Linked DNA regions of Drosophila melanogaster. The protein of the gene in region 3 interacts with the protein of the main gene of each other region in a pairwise test. Each region holds a gene or a part of one and is shown on either strand. Other genes may lie near its edges.

Evidence for each region.
Region 1: the proteins of CG9876 (region 3) and CG2233 interact in a two-hybrid assay, tested with the Drosophila melanogaster proteins (one large-scale study listed by BioGRID).
Region 2: the proteins of CG9876 (region 3) and CG4546 interact in a two-hybrid assay, tested with the Drosophila melanogaster proteins (one large-scale study listed by BioGRID).

What each region holds. Positions count from the first base shown.
Region 1 is NC_004354.4:8,033,415-8,040,407, reverse strand, and holds CG2233 (uncharacterized protein), read left to right. Parts: upstream 1-2,890; 5' UTR 2,891-2,922; coding exon 2,923-3,146; intron 3,147-3,195; coding exon 3,196-3,508; intron 3,509-3,605; coding exon 3,606-3,682; intron 3,683-3,773; coding exon 3,774-4,188; intron 4,189-4,248; coding exon 4,249-4,464; 3' UTR 4,465-4,667; downstream 4,668-6,993.
Region 2 is NT_033777.3:15,843,905-15,850,762, forward strand, and holds CG4546 (uncharacterized protein), read left to right. Parts: upstream 1-2,629; 5' UTR 2,630-2,875; coding exon 2,876-2,884; intron 2,885-2,950; coding exon 2,951-3,201; intron 3,202-3,265; coding exon 3,266-4,379; 3' UTR 4,380-4,527; downstream 4,528-6,858. Other genes in the region: spn-E (spindle E), read left to right, coding at 1-6, 70-202; cv-d (crossveinless d), read right to left, coding at 620-860, 918-1,516, 1,601-1,780, 1,840-1,983, 4,528-4,755, 4,814-4,940, 4,996-5,111, 5,235-5,737 and 4 more.
Region 3 is NT_033778.4:23,087,704-23,097,351, forward strand, and holds CG9876 (uncharacterized protein), read right to left. Parts: upstream 6,564-9,648; 5' UTR 6,267-6,563; coding exon 6,008-6,266; intron 3,405-6,007; coding exon 3,178-3,404; intron 2,998-3,177; coding exon 2,656-2,997; 3' UTR 2,397-2,655; downstream 1-2,396. Other genes in the region: CG13538 (uncharacterized protein), read left to right, coding at 1-135.

The sequences.
Region 1 (6,993 bases), on a different chromosome or scaffold from region 3:
TTACCATCTCGCTTATTATTTTGTATTAAAATTACGATTATGATGATAATGGATCGTGGCGACAAAGATGTCCGCACATGTTTCCAAAGCTTATTATTTTTAATATTATTGATTGCCTAGGCAAGTTTAGTTCGTAGGTATACACTTAATTGATAATACTTATTTTTTTTTTTCATAATTGTATACACACACACACACACACACACACCTATGCTTAGAGTTGTTAACTAATTTAAAAACAAAAAAGGAGAAAACCCCAACAAAAAAAAAAAAAAGAACAAACTAAAGAAAATCGAAACAAAATCAATTCAAGAAATCCAACCGCAAGGGAACGTCTCAGTCCAAATTGTCGGTACACGAATTCTTATTTTATTTGATTAACCAAAAGAAAATGTTATTAAAAATGTAGTCCGATCCCCATTCCCAAATCATCATCCTACGGACCGCTATGAGCAAATTCAATGAAATCTTATTGTTTTTCGATTTTAATTCGGCACATCACCCATGCACCTGTAATTTATACACACGCAAAAGGAACACCCACACACGCACACACACACACCCACACCTACACCTACACCCAAACACGCCGGCAGACACTGGGAAGAAATCCAGCACGATCCGCAGAATCAGAACCACAAACCAATAATATGGATACAAATGTAGTTAATAAGTCACAACAACCACGACATTTTTGTATATGCCAATGACGCGCCTAAACAAAAAAAAAAATGAAAACAAAAAAAAAAGAATGAAAAGTAATCCGAAATTGCTTTCTAATGACCAGAAGCCTTCGCAAGTAGGTGCCAGGATGCAGGATGCTATCCCCCAAATTGCAGTGACAATTCAGTAAATTAATGATACATGTTTGGAGTCTCTGCCGTCTTCCACCATGTGTATTCTTCGTCTACATCTTCACCCCCACCATCTGCATGCATCCAATCCTCCTTGTCAATGTGTCCTTGTATATAGATCCATGGGTCCTTCCAGATCATCTTTCCATCGGGGACTCTGATCCTGAAATAGCAGTAGGATTTATGATAGCAACTATCTGTGTCGAATCTAACCAAATCTGTAACTGTATCATGCACCTTTTTTTTTATGTATATTTGGGGTTCTGATTTCTATTTATTCTGTGCGTGAGCCTGTGTGTGCCCTGCAGTTGCATTCACCGATCCATTTTCATCGATGAATCACCGCTCAATTTGTTTTCAAAGAGCGATGAATTGTGGAACTGCAGGGTGTGGTTGAGATTAGGGATGCGTGTTTGTCTTTGTATATAGAGGCGGTCAATAGGTTCGTGTCTTTCCCCGGCTTACACTCGCAGCAAATTTCGTTTTGTTTGTGTAAATTAGTTTTTTTTTTTCGAAAGCGAGTAAAGAACAGAAAAAAAGATCACAAAACAACCCTTATTCTATATAAAGAACATATATATATATATATACAAAAATATATATATTTAAATACGAAAAATGTTGTATCTAGTAATACATATACAAAAATGAGAAACATTTTTTTTCTATACTTAATTTTAGCATTTAATTGAGAATAATTCGCACGAGGAGATAAACGTGAAATGTATGAAAATAAAAATTGGGAAAACCAAACGATTCAAACAAAAGAAGTTTTTAATTCAGTCAATATATATATATAAACAGGAACATATATATAGTAAAACCTCTATATATAGCGACATCCCTATATTTGCATATATGAATATAACACCAACATATATATATATATATATATATATTTTAACATCACCCGACGACAGAACAAGACGCATTTGATTTTGTCCAATCTGATCGAATCGCCCAAGTTCTAGCAGATGCATTTGGCATACTAGCATATAATTGTTGACCTTTTGTTGTTACCTAACGAGGGCATTAACTAGAAGACGATGATGATGATAAGGCGTAGTATAGCAAGATAGAAAGATAGAAAGATAGCCTGATAGCAGGATGGCTGGATAGCTGGATAGGATGGGTCAAGTGGAGTCGAGTCGAGGAGTATGTACCATATAGCAAAAAAAAAAAAAAAAAAAAAAAAACTCACTAAAGAATCACTTTTCTGAAACGTAAAAGCAAACGATCTTAGCCTTAAGCGCCTACCGCTAAACAGAATAACTTTAAAGCAACGTTACGTGTGGCACGTAATGCAGGAACTAATAATACTATTATTAATAATAATAATATTAACTATTACGATTATGAAGCAGAAAATCAAGGGGGAAACTAGTTTTCGCTGGCAGAAAGGGTGGATATAGAAACCATTACATTAACATACATGACATCATTTTGGCCCCTTTAGCATTCTCTAGATATACAAATACAAGAATTCTTAGTAAGCCTATTATTAATGGAGGAGAGCGTGTAAGCAGAAAATGCGAAGGAAACCAATTAACAAGTAAAACGTAAAACATAAAACATATTTTACCTTTAATGCGTACACTTAGTATTAATGAAATGGCCGACAAAAGCAAAAAACTATAAGAAATGAGACAAAAAATAAATAAAAAGGAAAAAAACAAAAAACTAAAGAAAACAGAGAAAATTTGCAAAAAAAAAAAAAAATAATAAAAAAAATAAACAAAAATTCATAAAAAAAAAAACAAACAATAGTGTGTTCTTATTTCATCGAAATTGTAATCGAATCGTTATCAATAGTGCCTTTTTCTATATTTATATATATTTTTACATATGCACAGTAATCAATGGATTGATTATTATTGTTTATTATTGTTTATTATTATTTTGTTTATCTCGAACCTCAGCTGAAATAATCGCAAAAGGGTCGCAACCTGCCAGCAATCACAAATCGTGCGATAAGAAGGTTATCTGCAGCATCAGCACCTTTCTGGGGGCTATAAAAAAGTGATCGCCACCGAATGGGGCGATCAGTTTGACTTTTGAATTCGTCGCGATGTTTTCGATTAACGCCGTGATCCTGGGCATTTTGGTTACTTCCGTTATGGCCCAGGATGCAAGGGGAACGTGTGAACTGAGCATCGGTTCTCCGGCTCCGGTTGTTATTAGCAATTTTGGCTCCCAGCGTTTATTGTTCGATTCCGTGCGAAAATTAGAACGGGAAAATTACCAGACCATTGACCTTTTCTGCGCGAGCGGATTTTCCATAGACTATTACAAGTACTGTTTGATTATCTTCTACTCGCATTTGCTGATGATTTGCTTTCAGCTATTACAACAACCAGATCTCGACTACAATCAAAGCGACTAAACTTACAATGACCTGCGACCCTATTCATCGGTTTACCTATAAAGATGGCATAAAAGATGTAATTAGTGTTCGGTGTCTGGAGGTCGGCCCTCAGTTGTTTGAGAGCATGAACAAATTGCCAAATTGCACGGGCATGACTCTAGTTGTCGGAAGAAAATTCGATGGCATTGGTTTAATAAAATATTCAGCATTGTGCTATGATTTGGCCGCATTTCAATTGAAATATATTGGTTATACCACAAATTTCAATAATATCCAGATTTTCCCAGAGGTGGGTTGTGTTAACTTTTTGAGCAATATTATATATTGTTATATATTCACGTATTTTGTTTTTTTTTTTTTTTTGTTCCATATACATACATGTGTAGACCCAATTGGGACAACTTAACGATATCGGACTTGATACTCCTATCAGTTACCAAAAAAATCTATTCGAGACCATCAGGTAGGTGCAATAAGGAGGTTGCGCTATTCCTGTGATTAGAGGAGTGGCTCTTTGATTAAAATCATAATTAACATAATATCAATTCGAGCAGCAAGAGTGAACTTGATGCGTACTTGGCAAAGGAGAAGCAGTTGTTCACGGAGGACACTTTTCAGGTTGGCAGTTTGGTCCAGGATGAGATGGTTAGTAGACACTTGGTTGTCTACGAGGACTTGCTGACCACCGTCTGGTTGGAGGTTCTGCGTTCCGGCAACTGGAAGCATTGGACGAAGGCAATGCGTGATGCCATCGGTGTCCACTTCGACATTCGTTTGGGTGTTTCCGGAACCGTGAAGCTGCCGACGTTCGCCGGGCAATCATGCAACGGAAGCCGATCGCTCAACATTGAACTGATTGGTGGCAAATTCCTGCCCATTCCCGCCCACATTTGGGCCCATGTTCACGCTGTGGAAAAGTCCGGTACCGGACAGGATGAGTTCGTCATCATTGGACACAACTCGCCCTTCGTGCGTAAATGCCATTGAATGTGTTATGCTCAGAAATATTCAATCCTTTCGATCTTGCAGTATCGCAGTGACTTAAGCAATCTGTGCCCCTCGATGTGCAACCAAGTGTCCTGGCTGAGGAACACCCTCTTCTCCAGACTCCACGAGTTTCCCGCCTTTGGAATGGTGCAGTGCTGCCGTGTGGAGGATGTGGCCCACAAACTGGACAATTTTCCCGGTCCCTTTGAGAATGAAAATATGAATGTCAGCAGGACAACCGAGGCTACCACAATATAAACAGTTCCCTTTATATTATCCCTCTGTTCCAACAAATATGGGACTCTTTGTGTACATGCAATTTGTATAAAGCGCCTTTTAATGCATTAAAATGCATTTAATGCAATAATACTTGTCTATATAATCAGCCCGTATTGCTTTGTATCCGTATACGATCCTTAATTCCAGTAATAAAGTCACAATTTGCGCATATTTGAATCTTTAAATATTATGTCAGTCTTCGACTAGCTCTTGTCGAACGCGGATGTAAAATCTTCTATTCTCTCTGAGAACATTTTGGTGTACATTAAATATTTTCTGTTTTCTTCTTTAATTGTGATATTCGCAAAAAACTACAATCAAACGTTCAAGTGATGCAATTGGCGATGCTGAAGCATCTGCCGTTGAAAAAATGCGTACTAAAAGGAATAAACCACTAGTGGAGCGCCAGAACGAACGGGGCTCCAAGCAATTTACAAATTATTTTCGTCCACTACAAACTTTAGACGATGATAATGATGATAAACCTATTGAAACGGACACACTTGATGAAATAATAATCAAACCACCTCCTATAACATTAATTAAACAAAATACAAAATTTGTACACGAGCTAATGGCTAAAATTAAAACTGATGATTACTTTATTAAAACCATCTCAATTGGAATTAAAATATTTTTACCAAATATGGACTGTTTCAATGCAGCTTGTAACCAACTCAAGGAACATAACTGTGAGTTCTACACGTACGATACTAGATCAAACAAGCCATACAAAGCCATTTTATCCGGGCTGGATAAACTACCAATTGAAACTGTCAAATCCATGCTACAAAACCTAGGATTACAATGCACCGAAGTCAAAATTGTGGAAAAGAAAACTAAGTCTGATCATGAATTATTACTGTACATTGTTTATTTCGTAAACAAAAGTATCACAGTAAAGGAACTGCGCAAAAACTTTATGTATGTCAACCACACTAAAGTACGCTGGGAGTATAAAGTGAAATTGCAGAATAAAATTACTCAATGCTACAATTGCCAACTATTTGGACATGGATCAAATAATTGTTCAGTTAAAACATCATGTGCCCATTGTGCTGGATCACACCAGACTGCCGTATGTATGGACGTAAACAACAAAAAATGCGCTAACTGTAAAGGCGACCATCCATCGACAGAACTGACATGCCCATGCCGAATTTCTTATCTCAATTTACTTTCCAAACGCTCATCACAACGCATTGGAAGAAATAACTTGGAAGCTCATGGAATGAGGAATTCTAAGCAACACATCGCTCCATCTGCTCTCTTTGGAAATCAACCCCAGATCTCATTGCCTACTCAAACTAAGAGAGTGCAACAACTCAACTTTGGTAGCTATAGTAATGCACTCACCAATATTCATACTTTGCCTAATCCCAAAGCAAATATCACAAATGAAACTAATCTCTTTTCATGTGAAGAGATAAATTCTCTTTTGTCTGAATTAATAACAAGACTTAATGAATGCTCCAATAAGGGAGAGCAATTTCAAGTAATTTCTCAGTTAGCGATTAAGTATGTTTACACAAACAAATAATTTTATTGATAATTTGAATATTATGGCATGGAATGCTCGTGCCGTTAGAAACAAACGTATAGAACTGATCAAGTTCTTAGAAAATAATCACATTCACATAGCACTTATAAATGAAACGTGGCTGACTCATAGTGACCGTTTTAATATACCCGAATACACTATATACAGAAATGACAGGAAGGAAAGTAGGGGAGGCGGCGTTGCCATTGCAGTTAGTAACACATTGATACATGAACAAATACCCTGCATTAAAAGTCATGTTATTGAAAATGTAGGTATACAAATCAACACTGACTCTAATTCCAGTCTAAAAATTTACTCTATTTACTTTGCTGGAAATACTTCAAAATGTATTCCTAGTTCATGTGATTTATCTTGGGACCATAATCATTTAAAAAGTTTGTATAGATCTGATCTCCTTAAGATCTCACAAATAAATGGAAATTTTCTAATTTGCGGGGACTTCAACTCGCGCCACAGAGCATGGAAGTGTACCCGAGCCAATGGTTGGGGCAAAATTCTCAATGAACTTTCAGATCTGGGAAAATTCAGTATTTTGTACCCTACGCAACCCACATATATTCCGCATAACCATAAAGCAAAAGCATCAACATTGGACCTATGCCTCACTAATATCCCTAACCAGCTGGCTAATCCAGCAGTAATGCAAGAGCTTTCCTCTGATCACCTACCAGTGGTTATTAAATACTCTACAAATTTTATGCGCAATGTAAAAACATATCCGATTTTGGGAAGGGCAAATTGGGCGCTTTTTAAGAGAATTATAAATGAAAGGCTGATGGTTGAAGAGGTGGTTGTCAACTGCTCACAGATATCGACTTTGGATATTGATAATTTAATCGGCTCTTTCACTAGAGTAATCAATTATGCCTTTCTTAAAGCAGTCCCTCATAAACCTATACATCACTCCAAGCTTACACTCCCTGTACATATAACTGAATTATTTA
Region 2 (6,858 bases), on a different chromosome or scaffold from region 3:
CAACTTGTAAGACTGGTGCTTGTTTACAAGAATATATTGCATTACTTATATTTTAACTTATATTTTTAGCGAAGGCACTTTACCCCATATGACTTGCAAACTGTGCAATCAGTTGTTGGAATCGGTTCCCCAGCTCCGTTTGCATCTCCTGACCATATTGCATCGTGATCGTGAAAAGCAAATCGACTATTGCAACCAATAAGAATGGTTACATCGTTTAATATGAAAACAGCTGATTTTGAACTTTTTGATTTCTCATTTCTTTTCTTAAAGGACACACTTCACTTGTTTGGTTTAAAAAAATGACGTATTCATGGAATGAAAACAAGTTTTGAATTGAATCTAAACCTACAGAAATCTTCATTACGTTAAATATTTTCTATGTTATGTTGAATGATCTCTCTTCGTTCAATTACGAAGTGTAAAATGTGAAATATAATTTTTTGTTAATTACATCTTTAAAGATATCATTAAATACGAAGACAGCTATACTAACCAGTTCATTACAAGCAAAAATCCATAAACTGCTTGCTGTTTATAAAAATCAAAGCCCTGGGGCGTGCATGTTCTCCCTTTTTGGGCTCTTTTTTTTATTTTAGATTAAACTCACACATTATATTTATGCAACTACAACTACATCGGAGGAATTCTGCAGCGGCACAGGAGTTGGAGTGTTTGCCTCCAGCTCGCAGATCGTATAATTCTGCATGCGGTTTAGGGGCTTGCTGCACAGCCCACACATCTGGTGCTTATACACGCCGTATATCTCGAAATTCAGGATGTTGTACAGATCGAACTGGATGGTGGAGGACAGCTGCGTACACTCCACAATTAAAATATTTTGCTCGTTAAGTTCCACGCTGAAAGGGCATATGGCGTTTATAAAATTGTATATAAAAGCTAAAAAGCATTCTTACCGGAAGTCGTAGTCACTAGTCTCAATTGGCCATTGATATGGCTTTTTGCGCACGTTGTGCGGTGTTTGATCCTGGTTAAGATATATGAGCACTGGTTCATCCGTGGGCAGGCTGCTGTTGTCTGTGCGGGCGCGGAAGTTGAAGTAGTTTTGCCCGATATGGACTCGTAATCCATAGTTGGTGGACAGTCCTTGAACAGGCGAAGGCGTAACAAACACTGCAATCTGTGGCAATGGCGAACAGTCAGCCACCAGCAGCGTGAGACAGTCGGGACGCACCGCAATCTCTCTGAGATTGATTAGGTAATCATCGAAGGTATTGACTATGCCATTGATTACTGAGCAGGAGCGCTTAAGTCCTGAGTCGAAGGTAAGCTCGTGGGAAGCGTCGAACTTCGAGTCCAGCTTGTAGAAGAAGGGGATCTGATGGAAACGCCACTTCACTCCGTTGACCTCCACAGCCAGCCTGAACTGGTCCTGAGGAGTTTGCATTGATATATTTATCTCCTGGCTCATATGCAGACTGTCCACCTTGTCGGCGGATAAGGCGGACACTAAGTGGTCCAGTCGATTCGACCACAGCTCGAACCAGGCGGGCATCTTAAAAAATATAAAGGTGAGTTGATTGGTCTTTTATATATCTTTTCGGAGCGGAAAGTAATTTGATATATCTGATATACTTACATTGTCAAACTTCAGGTCCATGTCGTATTGTGTGATCGAGGTGAAGTTCTCAAAGTTGCTACGCTTGCAATACCTGGAAGTGGGTATGGGCGAGAACTTCAGTACCTCCTTGGGACAGAAGTCGGTGTCCGTCAGCGAGATCTTGTCGGAGCGGAGGAAGGCACGGGCATGCTCCGAGGGCTGGCGAGATGAAAACGTTGGGTTAAAAGAGAATCCACTTCGGGCTTATGTACACTTACACCAGCTCTAGCTGCAAACTGCACCGTGGAACCCTTCTCCGGGCACTCGCTCTCCTCGGTGGCCAGGCCAAACACCACATCGCCATTCAGAGTGTGAGGTCGCTTGGTAAACACCAGCGGTTCATAGGTCAACTTGGTGCAGGCCTAAGGAAAATTATGCAAATGAGTGAGAAAATCCTGTATCCTTAAGTGAAACACCATGTGTTTTTTTTAATGCTTTTTAAAATAAACCTAAAATCTGTCAACTTGATTTTCCAATTATGAAATATGGAATACAATTTAATTTCCTAGCCGGTGGTTCTTCACACAGTATGTCCCAGTAGGTCAATAGCCAGCTATGCTCGGCACGAGTCAAGTGCTCCTTTTGGGTGGCGGGTGTGACACCCTGTAAGTATTATGTAGTTACACTGCTTTCCTCAAGCGTGGAGGCAAGAAAATGTGGGGTTCAGCTGTTCGCTGAAGCTCCAGGCGAGTGGAGTGGGCCACATTACCATGACGAAACAGCAGACAACGGAGCCACAACAACTGCAGCAACGATTAGCGAACCCACACACATCCTGACTGTATGATTGTATGGCCCTCTTCCGCCCCACCGTTCGTGCCTGCGTGCCACCTTACTACACACACACACACACACGCAACCCATCCTTTCAAGCACTCAAGCAGTCGCCGCAATTGTTGGCCCACATTCGTGGGTTGTTTGCGTCCCGGAATCGAGACCGAGAACCGAGTCTGGCAACCGGACTAGAGTAAAGCAGGCCTGGCGGTGTAAGTAGCCCCGTTTGATCAATACGACTCGGTGGGAGCTCAGTAGAAGGCATCCAGTTACGCTACTGTTCAGACGAATTTCTCCTGTCGTAAATTTGTTTTGGGAAAAAATTACATTTTCTTTTATTTTGTAAGAACGCTGTAAAAATCTGGAAAAAAGACCCAGTGCTCTCGACCTATTTTATTTCGGTACCGCCATCGGGAGCATTCAGTTGCGTTGCTTTTATAAATTTATGTTTACTTGATTCTCGGTCGGACAAACTGCAAAATGACTTCGGTAAGTGATATATAAGAAGCATAATAGATATGGATTCTTATGTAGCCACTTTACCTGCTTCTCCAGATCGAGTCAAAACGCGTCCAATATCGAAAGTATTTGGAACGCGCCGGAGTCATCGATGCCTTAAGCAAGGCTCTGATTAAGCTTTACGAAGAGCAGAATAAGCCGGAGGATGCCATTCGCTTTGTACGCAAGTTTATGTGCGAGAGCTGCCCGGACGATGCCCAGTACGATGTAATGAAGAACGACCTCGAGGAGGCCAAGACCCACATCTCGAAACTGGAGCAGGAGCTTGAACGGCTACGCGGACAAATGTGAGTTTCTAAGATCGCGTCTTGTCTGTCCAGTCTTGATTTAGATTCTATTTACACTCAATAGCAAAAAGTCACCGGAGGAGTACCAGGAGCTCACTACTGAGGGCTACAAATCGCTCATGGATGATGAGGAGAACGTGAGCTCACTGCTGCGCAAATACCTGACTCCGGAATTGCTGGAGGAGTACATGCTGGTCACCACACCTGCGCCGGTGGATGCCTACCTATACGATTGCGCCGTCTCCGGATTCGAGCACCACGACGCGCCCGTGGGCATTTTCGCGGCAGATGCTGACAGCTATGACGTGTTCAACAAACTCTTTGATCCGATCATAAAGGACTATCATGGCCAGATGGACAACGAGAACGATGTGCTGCAGAAAGACCCAGACTTTGGCAACGTGGACGAGATCGAGAACTTGGATCCGGAGCGCAAGTACATTCTGTCCGCACGAATCAGATTGGCTCGCAATATCGAAGGTCTGCCCTTCTTCCCCAAACTGACCGAGAAGCAATTCATAGAGGTGGAGGAGAAGGTGCGTTCGGCCACGGAGACAATGGATGGCGAGCTGATTGGCTCCTATCTGACAATGGCGGACATCGATGCTGAGACCCAGGCGGAGATGGTCAAGAGACATATATTATTCCAGCGCGGCGATGAGAAGCTGACCACAGCCGGCTGCTATCGTTTCTGGCCAACTGGTCGTGGTGTCTACCACAATCCCGCCGAGACCTTCTTGATCTGGGTGAATCGCCAGGACCATGTGCACATTATGTCCATGGCACAGTGCGGCGACTTGGGCGATGTTTACAATCGCCTTGTCAACGGTCTAACCGAACTGGAGAAGACGTTGGCCTTTGCCCGGCATCCGCGTTATGGAAACCTTACGGCTTGCCCCACCAATTTGGGCACCACCCTGCGGGCTTCGGTGCACATCCGTCTGCCGCTACTCAGCAAGGACCCCGATCGTCTACTCGCCCTCGCCGAGGAACAGCAGCTGCAGGTACGCGGCACCGATGGCGGCGAGCTGTCCACCGTGGAAGATGGTGTCATGGACATATCAAATAAGAGGAAGCTTGGTTTCACCGAGTTCGAACTGGTCAAAACTCTGCAGGATGGCGTTGTGACCCTGATTAACGCAGAGGAAGAGCTCGAAATATCCGGACAGGAGGGTTAGAAACAAATAGCCAATACTTAAAAACCTTGTAAAGCAATTAATATCACTATAAAGTACTCACGAACACTCACAGACGAACACTTAGAGAAACAGGAGAAACGTATCTTTGGTTAAATAAATTTGTCCCTAGCCACAGACAATCACTCACCTTCCAGTCGTCCTCGTCATCCTTTGAATTTCGCTGAACCTGGCCGGTCAGCTTGAACCAATTGGACTTGGTCGATGCCAGCACGTCCAGGGTAATGTTCCATCTATGAAGTGCATCCGCAGCATGATTTTCGTTCATGTGGTCCGTGTGCTCCAATGTAAGGCCGATCTGCTTGCCTTTCATGTCCGACGTTTTCAAAACGTCTTCGGCACAAAAGTTACCTTCGATCTGAACGAAAATTGGTTTTAGCTTTAAATATTGTTAAATATTTAATTTTATTTCTCACCCTGGTGTTCTTCTCGTTGTACATAAGCATGGTAAAGTTGCGATCGTGGCCCAGGTGTATGGAACTTAGCTGGGTGAAGCCAAATATGTACATCAAAGCATTGACCACCATATTGCCGGAGAACCCACTGGAAGTGAAGTGATTAGCTGAGTAGCAAATCGGTTTCGAAATTCAAAAATTACTTCTCCGTGAACTCGGACTTTAGCAGCATCCCCCTGTACTTGATGAGCTCGTTGAGATTGGTGGTCATGCTCAGTCGGACGCCCAAATCCGTCATTGGGTAGCTAAATAGTTGAACCTGCGAGCTTGACTTTATTATTATTCTTAATTTTACCCATTTTCAGATGCTTAAAGTAGTTAATTAAATTTAGTTAATTTATTTCATATATTTTGGTATTATTTTTCTCAACAAAACACTTACCACATCGTTCCGACCCTCGGGCACCATGATCTCTTCGAAGGGCGCCGCCGCTGTCTTCGTGATCAAACCCCTGGTCTTGGTCACCGCCCGCGACTTGAAGGACAGGCCACTGGTCAGGTTTTGGGGTCGGGAGAAGGAGTAGCGCCTGCACTTACTGCCACTCTCGTTCAGATGCAGTTCGCTGCTAAAGGGGATGTAGATGAGGAAGCCCTGCTCCCGGTTGATCTCGTGATCGAGGTTGAGGAACGGATTGTAGCTACGACTCCGCACCGAGGCGTATGAAGAGTATCGGGCATCGATTTCCAGCGTGTGCTTGGTTATGGGCGAGTTCCGCTGCTCTGTTATATTACCACGCAACGAGGTTAGTACGGTGGTCTGCAGCAGGACGTCGGAGGAGGTTCCCAGCACCGTGGGCACCGTGTAGCGATTCATGAAAGGCCAACGAACAGTCTGCATGTTTATGTGACTGTCTGTCCGAATGATTTGCTGCATTCTTTCCAGAACTGTGGAAAACGGGCATGAACCGCACATGGCTGATGGTCAAGAGGTCAATGTACTCACTGTTGTCGTAGGTCAGCTGCCGGAACATCCGCTGGTTGAGGTAGTACGACAGCACCGTCTTGCCCTCCATTTGCAGGATGAACTCCAGATGCAGGTCCTTCGAGTTGATGATCGGAGCCTGCAGCATGGCCAATAGAGCCTTGATGCTCTTAAAGGTAAAAGGATCGCTGCCATTTCGCGATTGCATCTTGTTCAGGATGGTATCTGGCAGCCCACGTGCCTTGATGTATAGCTGGAAGAAGTAGAGATGGCTTATTTGATTCTTGAAACACCGAGAGGTTGTACTTACCGCCAGTTGTCCTGTGAATTTGCCTAGAGCTTCGGTGTCGAATTTGAAGAAGGCCACCACTGGCATGTCCGACTTTGGATCGCCCACGAGGAATACCTGAAGCATTGCACCGATGCCGAACTTGGAGTCGCGATAGTCAAAGATGTAGTTACCGGTGACCCAGTAGCGTGACTCGGGCTTCTGGGGCAGATGACGATGCATGTAGGACAACAGACGGCGTCTAAATGAAGGATATACGACATCTGTGGATGGCTGTGAATTAGGCTGAGTTAGATGACTTACAGGTGCTGATAGCAGGGATATGTTGTCTCCGAGATGCTCGTCACCGTCGTCCGGTAGTAGTTAATCATGTGAGGGTCCGTCTCGCTCTGAATGATGCGATGGATGCTGATGAGACGGGCGGCCGTGGGGTTGGAAATCAATAGCAGCGTAACCGCTGCCACACGAAGTTCTAGGCTGGCATTTCGGGACTCAAAGATTGGCCAGTAGACCTCGTATATGCGCTCCGCTCGACGATCGGCCAGTGCCAGGGTCGTCCAGGCGGCCTGGAACTTCAGATCCTCGTGCTCGTTGGGGTCCTGAACAATGGGCTCCAGATAGTTGGCCACGTTCCCCAATTGCAAGTTGTTTAGACCCTGCAGATACAACATCTTCTGGTCGAAGTCGCGATCGCCTGCGATGAATGATATTAGTTTATATGGAACTCATGGTTATTTGGAACACTTACTTAGATAGGCATTAAAGTACTTCTGGACATACTCCTCAAACTTTTCC
Region 3 (9,648 bases):
GCTTGTCTTTTGCTGGGAACTTCAACTCTGGTACTCTGCCTGATCATCTCGTTTCTAATGTTCGCCATTCTGCAATGGAAGGCATCTCGGCTGCGAGGCAGCAAGTCAGTCCAAGGCGGTCCATGTGAATCCTAGTCAATCTCTTTTGAAAATCTTCTGACATGAGGAGTTAGTATTCCTGGGATATGAATGCCTTTAAGGCCTTGTGGATGAGATTTCAAAGTTCCGATTACCACAGTCTTTATCAAGGATGTGCAGATATCAATATTCTTAAACTATACATTTGGCAAAAGGAATTGTCTTCCAAATCGAACATGTCGTTCTGACACGCTTCGCTTGAGTTGTAATTTGAAATTTTGCGAGATCTAGAAACAATTTCTATGTCATCTGGAGAAATCGCTTCCAAATCATCGGAAAATTTCCAATGACAGCTGAAATAAAAATTATATGTCTGTAATTACTAAATGATTATTTGATTTTTTATGTTTAGTAAGTTTGAATTTAACATCTATTTAGTTGTAACATTTTTCTAGTCTCGTTTTTATAGTATTTTTCATGTGTGATTATTACCTCAGTTTTAATTTACCCTTCTCGATTTCAATGGCGCCCCTTTTTTATGATCCGAGTGATGTATCCATCATCGTGTGGCATATTTGGACAGGACTCAAACCGAAAGATGTTTATGGTACACAAATCTTGTGCCCGTGGCGGCATGGAACTTAAGAAGCTGTCACCGGGATCCTCCCCTTCATCATCCAAGATCTTTGCATCGCGTTTCCCTTTCATCTGACAATGTTGCCCGTGTCATCTACTTTATGCCACATGGGGGCGACTCCATCTGCGTGGATGCTCCGTTCATTAGGTCTCTTATAAATAATTGCTTTTTAACAGAGACAGAAATTATCACCTAATTATAGAGCTCGTCATGGGGGATTCCAACCGTCACTTTGGGGTCTCTGCTGTATCCACTGATTAACGGTGGTTAAATTAGCACTCTTATTAACTATTTATCAGTTATCCAATTGTATCTACACGTTTCTTACGAGCAAGCGAGTTTCCATGTAACATAAAAGTGGGTCCTTGATTAATTTGAACTGTTCACCTCAGCTGCTTTCTGTGGAGAGGAGAGTGGAACGCTTTGTGTCCTTCGAAAGGGATAATACACCGTTCCATAATGCCGCACTTGGCTGGCATAAGGAGGCCGTTTGCTCCGGTATTTCCGTTTGCCATTTGATTTGACAGGAGCCTGTTGTTTGGCCCATAAATTTGTATTTCCCTTTCGAGGAGGACTTCTGCAACATGTTCGCCTGTCAGCAGGAATGTCGTCCGTTTGCCGGCAAACAATTTGCCGCATCGCAGAAAAAAAACCAAAAACAAAGGGACAAAACGCATTTTTCCATCGCCGCCGACGTTCTGCTTTTCAAACATTATTGCAATTTCGTAAATATTGTAAAAATGTTTTACGCTCGAAGCGCCAACGCTTTATGCAAATTAGCAGCACAAACCGTTCCACATTCCGAATGTTAATTTGCATTTCGCATTTCGTCCGGCTGCTCAGTTCACTCCCATCTCGTTTGGCCTGCGGAGAAAAGGGGAATTTTTATTTGCATTTAAATATATTACATACTTGTTAACCTTCCAGCTGCTAGACTGGATCCGTACGTATCCGTACGTATCCGTATATCCGTGCATCCGGATCCGGGATCTGGAGTATCGGGGAAGATGCTTCTGTGGCCACTTCCCCTTTCCCAGTTTTTGGGAATGCGTTTGAGAGCACTGCTGCACATTCTATTGTGCCCCGAATGGCAATCTGTACTTTTAATTGCCCTAGAAAACCGAGATTTCCACAATCTTAATCCACTTTGATTGTGGCTTCGCTTTTCCAACATTTGCGGCTAGGCAAAAGTTTTCCCTTGCTGCTTGCTGTTTGTGCCCCTCGCCTCTTCTCTCCACAGCTTTCCTATCCACTCCTCGCCCGTTTGTTTATTTGTTTTCGCTTTAATTAAGTTTTATTATACAAATTAACACATGCGGGTGAAATAACACACACTCGCAGATGCAAATGGAAGCCTCGAGCTGCTTTGCCAGTGTGCGGCGGGGTTATGAATTTTTAATTAAATCGTATTACTAAGTCAATAATTAAATAAGCCATGTCATCGCCAAACGCCTGAGTGACAGTTTCGTAAATGGAAAACTTTCACATATCGACGAGAAGGTAATTGTTTGTGTCTCGCAAGATAATCCAATCGAAAGAGTTATCCAAACGTGATTATGATTACAATCTTTCTATAGTTCAGTTTGTGCCCTAGCAAATTGTAGTTTATTGGCCCTTAAGCGCAGTAGATTTTCCAAAAAATAAACACAGCTCCCAGTCAAACACACAGTGCCCGTGTTTTCTTAGAAAATGTTATTTATTGGGTTTTCTCCTTCAGTGCGTCACATCTGTATCGGTATCTGTATCTCTGTCTGTGTCTGTATCTGTATCTGTATCTGTGAATGTATCTGCATCTGTGTCGGCATCGTATAAGTATAAATATTAGTCAGGTAGGCGAATATGCCGGTCCTAATACGTTTTTAAGCATTAATGCAATTTGGCTAATTGAAATACATATGCATGAAGTAACCTCATGGGGCCCATTAAAGCTAGCCGCGCCATCACAGCGGCGGATAGGCGTTCTTCGCATAATTGGCGGCCACACAATAGTTGGTGGCCCCAAAGAAGGAGCAGACGCCACTGCCGCTGGCACCACTCGATCCAAATCCCCCGTAGCAGTTCGTATAGTTCTGGCACGAGCGCAGCTCCAGCGGCCCAAAGTTGAGGGCGTATGCGCCGGGGGGCGGTGGCGGCTGTGGGTGTGGGTGTGGCATATTGGCATATTTGTGCATATTATTGCTAATCGGCGCCGGCACCAACTGAGGAGCCGTATCCAGAAGTGTCCTGGAGCCCACGCTCCGTTCGTTCCGCCGGAATTTCGCACGCCGATTCTGAAACCAGACCTGAAACGGGCGTCCAAGTAATTGATAGGGGAATTAGCTGCAATGGATTGTTAACTAAGTTAGCAGATAGCTGCTGGAATGTATGTGCAACACAATGGGATACGGTGTGGCTTTCTATTAGGTGAACACTTAATATTTAAACAGGTATCATCGAAGCTTACCAATGCAATTAAAACCCACCTGAACTCTGGCCTCGCTCAGATGCACCTTGGTGGCCAGCTCCTCGCGAACAAAGGCATCCGGATAGTGAGTGCGTTCGAAGACCTTCTCCAAGGCCGTCAATTGGGCGGAGCTGAAGGTGGTGCGATTCCGGCGCGGCTTCCTCGAGTGGTGGCCACCACCCGCCGGCAGATTTCCGGAGCAGGGAGCTGGCCGATCTGCGCCACCGCATCCTGCGCCAGTGGGGCCTGCAATCAGGGAGCCATTAAATTGGGAATTTTCACTTTCACTTTTACTTTTGCGTTTTCCTTTTCCCGAGGGTCGAATGAAAAATCTCTTTGACGGACTGAGGTGAAAAACGCTCGTAAATAATCGATAAGAGCCAACGGATATCAATTAATTTGGCAGCCAGCTAGGAAATTTACTTTTATGGCTTGTCGTGAACACATAAAATTTTGCATTCCGTTTGATCCGTCGGCTGGGGGCCACGAAAGGAGTGGAGTGGGGACTTTGGGGCTTTAGGGAGTGGGAGGGGGGGTCATAAACAAATGGCATGAGCCATAAAATATCTTTTGACGACATCGGCGGACAGCTGTCTACTAATTTCGTCGCCCAACAAACATGAGCTAGCGCATTTACGATCTATTAATTAAAGTGAAATTGTGACATTAAGCGGTCATAAGCGGGCTCCCTGCTTCAGGCGACCATTAATTGATTTTCCATAGAATTGGCTTGAAAACCGATTTACAAAAGACTTAAGCCGTTTTCCTTCGAATTTATCTATTTTCAAACTAATTGGACGGAATGCTAGGGAAAAAATTAAGCATTTCAGCTAAAAGCCGGAGGAAAAAACTAAAATGAGATCATTATATTATTATATTATATGGTTTTATTTTGCATGGCTGCATGGGCTGTAGTGAGTATTACACTCTCCTTCGAGTTTCAGTTTTTAGTCTTGTATCGATAAATTGCTTCTGATTTCTCCGCCTCGCAGCCTGCTGGAATTTCAGGGTGGCCATCGCCGTGAGTATCCCCATCGCCATCAGATATCCTCCTACCCACGCCATTTGTCTCAATTTGTCAGCCGAGCTGTCCACGGAGTTGGGAACTGCATCGTAGATCAGCTCGGAGCACTCCAAGTACACGGAATAGTGGGAAACGGGAGCAACTGCATCGGCAACTGATGTCCCAGGGGATGGGAAGGGGAGTTTGGGGCACTGAGTGAAGGGAAGATCTTTAATTTGAATTGCCAACGAGCGATAAAAAACAGTTGCGGCTTAATAAAAAACCAACAAATCGAAAGGGAAACCTCAATCAGATTTTCAGAGCGGCAACGGCAAGGGGTGAAGAATGACTGAGCAGTTGCACTGTGAGAAATCAATGGGGGTTGGGGCACTGCATGAACTACTTGCTACAACAAATAAATCATTGTTAAAAGGGAGTACCTTTGCATATTTCCAATAAAATGTTATCGAATCATATTATAAAGTGAACAAAGTTCACCTCGCCTTTTAATCTATGAGCATAACAGATAGATTCGATTTTTTAAGTGGCAGGTAAACTGTTTTTCTTACAGTGCCTGGATGCTACTGGCACATGTTACAATCCGATGGAGCGACGAAAATAAACGAGGGGTGAGGGGGGGGGGGCGGGGCTAGGAGTAGTGGCAGTGGAGTGCGTGCTGCGTCTGGGACTGGTTACAGTGGGACTGGCGTTTTATATGCTCCACTTGGAAATTATAGTCGTGGCAGCTAGTCGCTGCCTCGGATGCTTCAAAGGCATGCGGCCACTGAGGGAATATCATGTCAGCTTTGATTACGTTTTGTCATGTTGACAATGTTGAAGTGTTGTCGGCTCGGAAATGTTTCCTCTGCCACGGATAGAAATCCAAAAAAAAATATAAGCACGGGAAGAACTTTACACGAACTGCCAGAGTTTCGGTTCCTCTGCGTTTTTCGGTGGGATCTTCGTTTTCGGCAAGGATAGCGCTGCAAATTATGCCAGAGCTGCCAACCAGTAGCAATATGTTGACAGCTTTCTCCCGGTCGGTTAATGCGCAGACTATGGGGCACTGGGGGCACGGAGGGGTTAAAGCCGCAACCGCAACAGGAAAAATGCACGGAGATGACATTGCAGCGGCATTGGGAGCAGCGAAATGAGCGAATGTCGCCCACATCTGGCACCTAATTGTCATCCATGAGTTGCCCCACGGCCCCCGCACATTTATATGAATTCTCCCACCGCATATACGGTAGCACCTATTTGTGCATATCTAAAGATATGGCAGCTGTGCGAATAACGTCATAAGTTCTCTTGGCCCGCAACTCGCACGAATCTATCATTTATGAATTAGGCACAGTAAGCCTCATAAAGTTGCAGAACTCAAATGCAGATGTAACTAAACTCCTGTGGCATTACGTATTCTGTTGCACATAATTGAGCACATCTGTGAACTATGCCATTTAAGAGGCTTTTAAAATTAAATGAACCAGTGCTCCACACCCAGATTAATTACATTTCGAGAGTGATGAATATTTTTGATAGAAAATAATAAAAACAGTATTCATTTTGGTTTTCATGGTCTAATTCAGCCATGAAAGCCTTTGACTTTGAATGAAAATGCAATAACATTCCAACATAACATTGCACTTGCCTGACCTGAGTAATGGGTATGTGATAGTCGTTTATCTCGACTTTCTTTCGTTTTAATATGCAAAAATTTACCTAACTATCTATAATTCAAAGCAGATTGATTGATTTGTTTTGCTTTTATTGCAAGTTTTCACATTTCACTCACAGAATTTTTTATTTATCTGCACTATAAGCACAAGATTGTTCCATTTGAACTCACCGAAGTTGCTACTGAGTTCCATGGCCATTTTTCCCTTGGAATAGGCGTCGTGTTTCATTTCCATGATATTGTCCACGGAGAATCTGTGAATTTTATCCAGGTTCCTGCCACTTTCTTCCCGATCCTCCAGCTTGTCCTCGGACTCCAGGTTGTGCGATTGGTGAGATGAGTATATCTCGCCGGAAACCGTCGGTCCGTAGTAAAAATTTCCCGGATTACCGACGGGCAGCGAATGCAATTGCTGCTGGTAGTTAAGCATGTTTAGGATATCCGTCTCGAGTTTTACTTAAAGGTTGAACTCTTAACTTTGGGCTGTATTAACTGAACAACAAACTGAACTCAAGATAATAGAATTGATTTTTTCGAATTTTAAACTCAATTCTTAATGTGTCCGATTGATTGAATTAATTTGTGCAATTTGTGTTATGTTCGCCTGCCGCAAATGGGGGCATCCTGTGCGAACTTGGTAATTGGATTAGCACACAACACATAAACGAGTTAATTACGATAATTGTCGCGACGATACTAAACCGTGCCAAAGTCGTGTGCCCACTGAAATTAGCCTCAAAATCGAAAGAGTGCTTCGCCAGATCCCATGCCCATCCCCCATCTCCCATCCCCCATCCACCATTCCCCAGAAGAATCCAATCCGAAACATATGAACATATGTGCCTGCCCGCGATCGTCGAGCGAGTCTATCGATTCTGCGCCTAATTATAGACCGGCGATCTGCGATTGGTTGCTGCTCCTCCTGCGCCGGTGGTGATTCCTCCATCTTGGGGGCGTTTCACTTCGAGTGGCTGGCTGGATGAATGAGTGTCTGAAATACGAGGTGAAAAGTATCAACAAGTTTTGGGCATTTAAGCAGCAATAAATACCAATTAGCCAGAGGGTTTGCTCTCCGGTTGACATCATCCTGCCTGTCACCACAGGCCATGTGTCTCTGTCTTTGCTGTCGTCCTGAATCGGTGCTCCCGTTTCGCAGGATGTGTCCGTTGTAGTTGCATCTGAAGTAGTTTCGGGCAACATCGGGGCATAAATCTCGGCACGCACAGTGTTTGTCATCCTCCTGAGCTAATTTCCATAACCACAACATCTTGTTCATTTGCCCGGCAAAGTGGAGCGATGGAAATCGGAAGGCTGGGCGGAACTGGTTAGTTAAGTGCATGTTTGTGGATCCTTGCGTTCTGCAGCTGTGTTTAACTTTACCTACGAAGGTGTTTCCCCATTGTTCTACATTGTGCTCAGCACGTTGGTATATAGACGAATTGATCTGGGTCACTCCTAAACAATACTGTGTAAATTATTAATAATATATCACATCAACGCTGACGTTCTTGTCCTTCGAGAGAGAGAGTGAGTTGCCTTTCCTTTAATTAAAGTATTTAAGTATTAAAGTGACTAGTTTCGCTATATCTGCTTATAAAACAGATTAGCGTCCAAGCAATGAGCTCCTTTCATTTTCTCATTTGTTGACCGAAGTTTGCGACTTAAGTTCCCCGCTTTGTATGAGGACCCATGTCAGAGAGAAAGTCCTTGGACTTTGGTGTGCGGCAAAGGAGGACTTCCGCTCATTAGATGTCCCTGCAAAGCTGGCTGGCTATTAATATTCTAATATTTTGCTTTTGGCAAAAGGAGCAGCTTGGCTGGAGTGCCGGCTTACACACATTTTCCCATCCAAATTGAGCTGTCACAAAAGTTTATCCAAACTACTTGACACTTCGCTGCCGGTTTTCGGGTGCGCTTTTCCACTTTTCCTACATTTCCACATTCCCACCTGCAAGGGAACGGAGTGGAGTTGCCTCGTCCGGCTCGCTTCTAGTAAATTATCTCACGTTTTCGTGTGCGAAAGTTCTTGAGGAATGTTGCGGTGTGTATTTTTAATAAAACTTCAAAGTTTCTCCTACTTGCCACGCTTTACTATGTCTCGCAAACGTTTTTCTTACCCAGCTCAATTTTCTTCGTTTTCAGCGGTTTCCCTCTGTTTTATTTTATTTTTATTTTCTCTACCTCATTTTATTTTTTAACTCTTGGAATTCTTTGTCACGAAACATTTCTCGCGTGCTGCTGCTCCGCCTGCTCCTCATCCTGATCCTTTTGCTCCTTCTGCCGGTGATGTTGCTAGTGTTTTGTGGGTGTTATCCATGTAATATGGTTACCCAGACAAACTTTGGCCGGGAAATTCTTCCAGCAAGTCAGAATTCGAGGAGACAGTTTTAATGCTGTCAGATAGAAGTAAAGTAACTAAACTTGTCAGTTGCCTCGCAGGGAATTCGGTGGAATATCATGTGCAATCCAAACGGGATAAATATGCGCAGGTAATGTCGATTACGATGTCAAAACGTTGCGTTGAACAAATAATTGTGGGTATTTACTATACTTGGTATGGTTGTTTAATATAATACACTGTATAATCCATTGTTTAAATGGCATTAACTAGGAGGCACAAGCGTATCAGAGTCATCAATCCAAAATCCCGGAAAACGAGGAACGCAATACATCAATGCGTGACAGTCTGTAAACCAGTTTGGCACTTTTTTTCTAGTTTCCCGCACACAGTTAACAATTTCAATTTCCTTTGAGCCACTCAAAAGAGGGTTTTTTTGGCCAAGTTCCTTTGAAGTTCATGTTGTTTGTCAAGAAAATGAAATTCACTTGACGGCGATTATGCGGCAAGCATTTAAACGCTTCTCGTTGAATTCGCTCGCTTTCGCGAAAGTTTTGCAAAACATTTCCGATGCTTCACAAAATAACCGAGCCACGGCGGAACCGCAACACAAGGACCTGCAACATCGGGGAAGGAACCCATCAGGCGCCCCTCGTCTACGTCTACGTCTAAGCCCGAAATGCCAAAAGCGCGAATGGCACACAGCGAGGGGAGGGTGCAAAAGTTTGGCCTAAATCACTTAACAGAAAACAAGTGTTGGCATGTGCCTCCTCTCCGCCGGACTTCCTGCCCCTACTGCGCCTTCTGCAGAAGGCATCCCAGCTCTGGCTTTCCGCCCAGCAGAAATATCGCAAAAGTTGCAGTGCAAACTTCTCGCATACCCATTACTAGAGCAAAAAGATTAATCCAGCTCAGAAGCTCTTTAATTTTTTTTAATAAAATATCTATTTTTGCTGAATATCTTATGCCGAACCTAAGACATATGTTTATTTTTCACTTCTGAAAGCAGATAGATCTTTGAACTTAGCCCCAACTTACTCACTGGGTATTAAATCCGCTAGCCTTGCCTTAAATCCTTCCGGTTTTAACCTGCGTTGCTGGATTATTCACGACATGTTGGAATCAGGCATCACAACAAAGTTGTATGGCAAATGAAATATAATAACAAGAAGTAACCGGAAGCATCAGACTAGGGAACTTTGGTGCCCACCTCCATCTGCGCCCCAAATGTGGGGCTATGCGTAAACAGAAAATCAATTAATGGCTGCAAAAAGTGAGAGGATGGATGACAGGCGCCCTCTGGCGGTTGGAAAAGTCGAACTACTTGCATTCCATTTTTTGCTGCATACTCTTGGACTTTTTTGTATAAGTGTTTATACACCCAAGTTATGTAAATGCGTGCGGCTTATAAACATAGGTATTAATCAATTAAATACACGTTGCGTGCGCGAAAGGCATTCAAAAATGGTTCGAA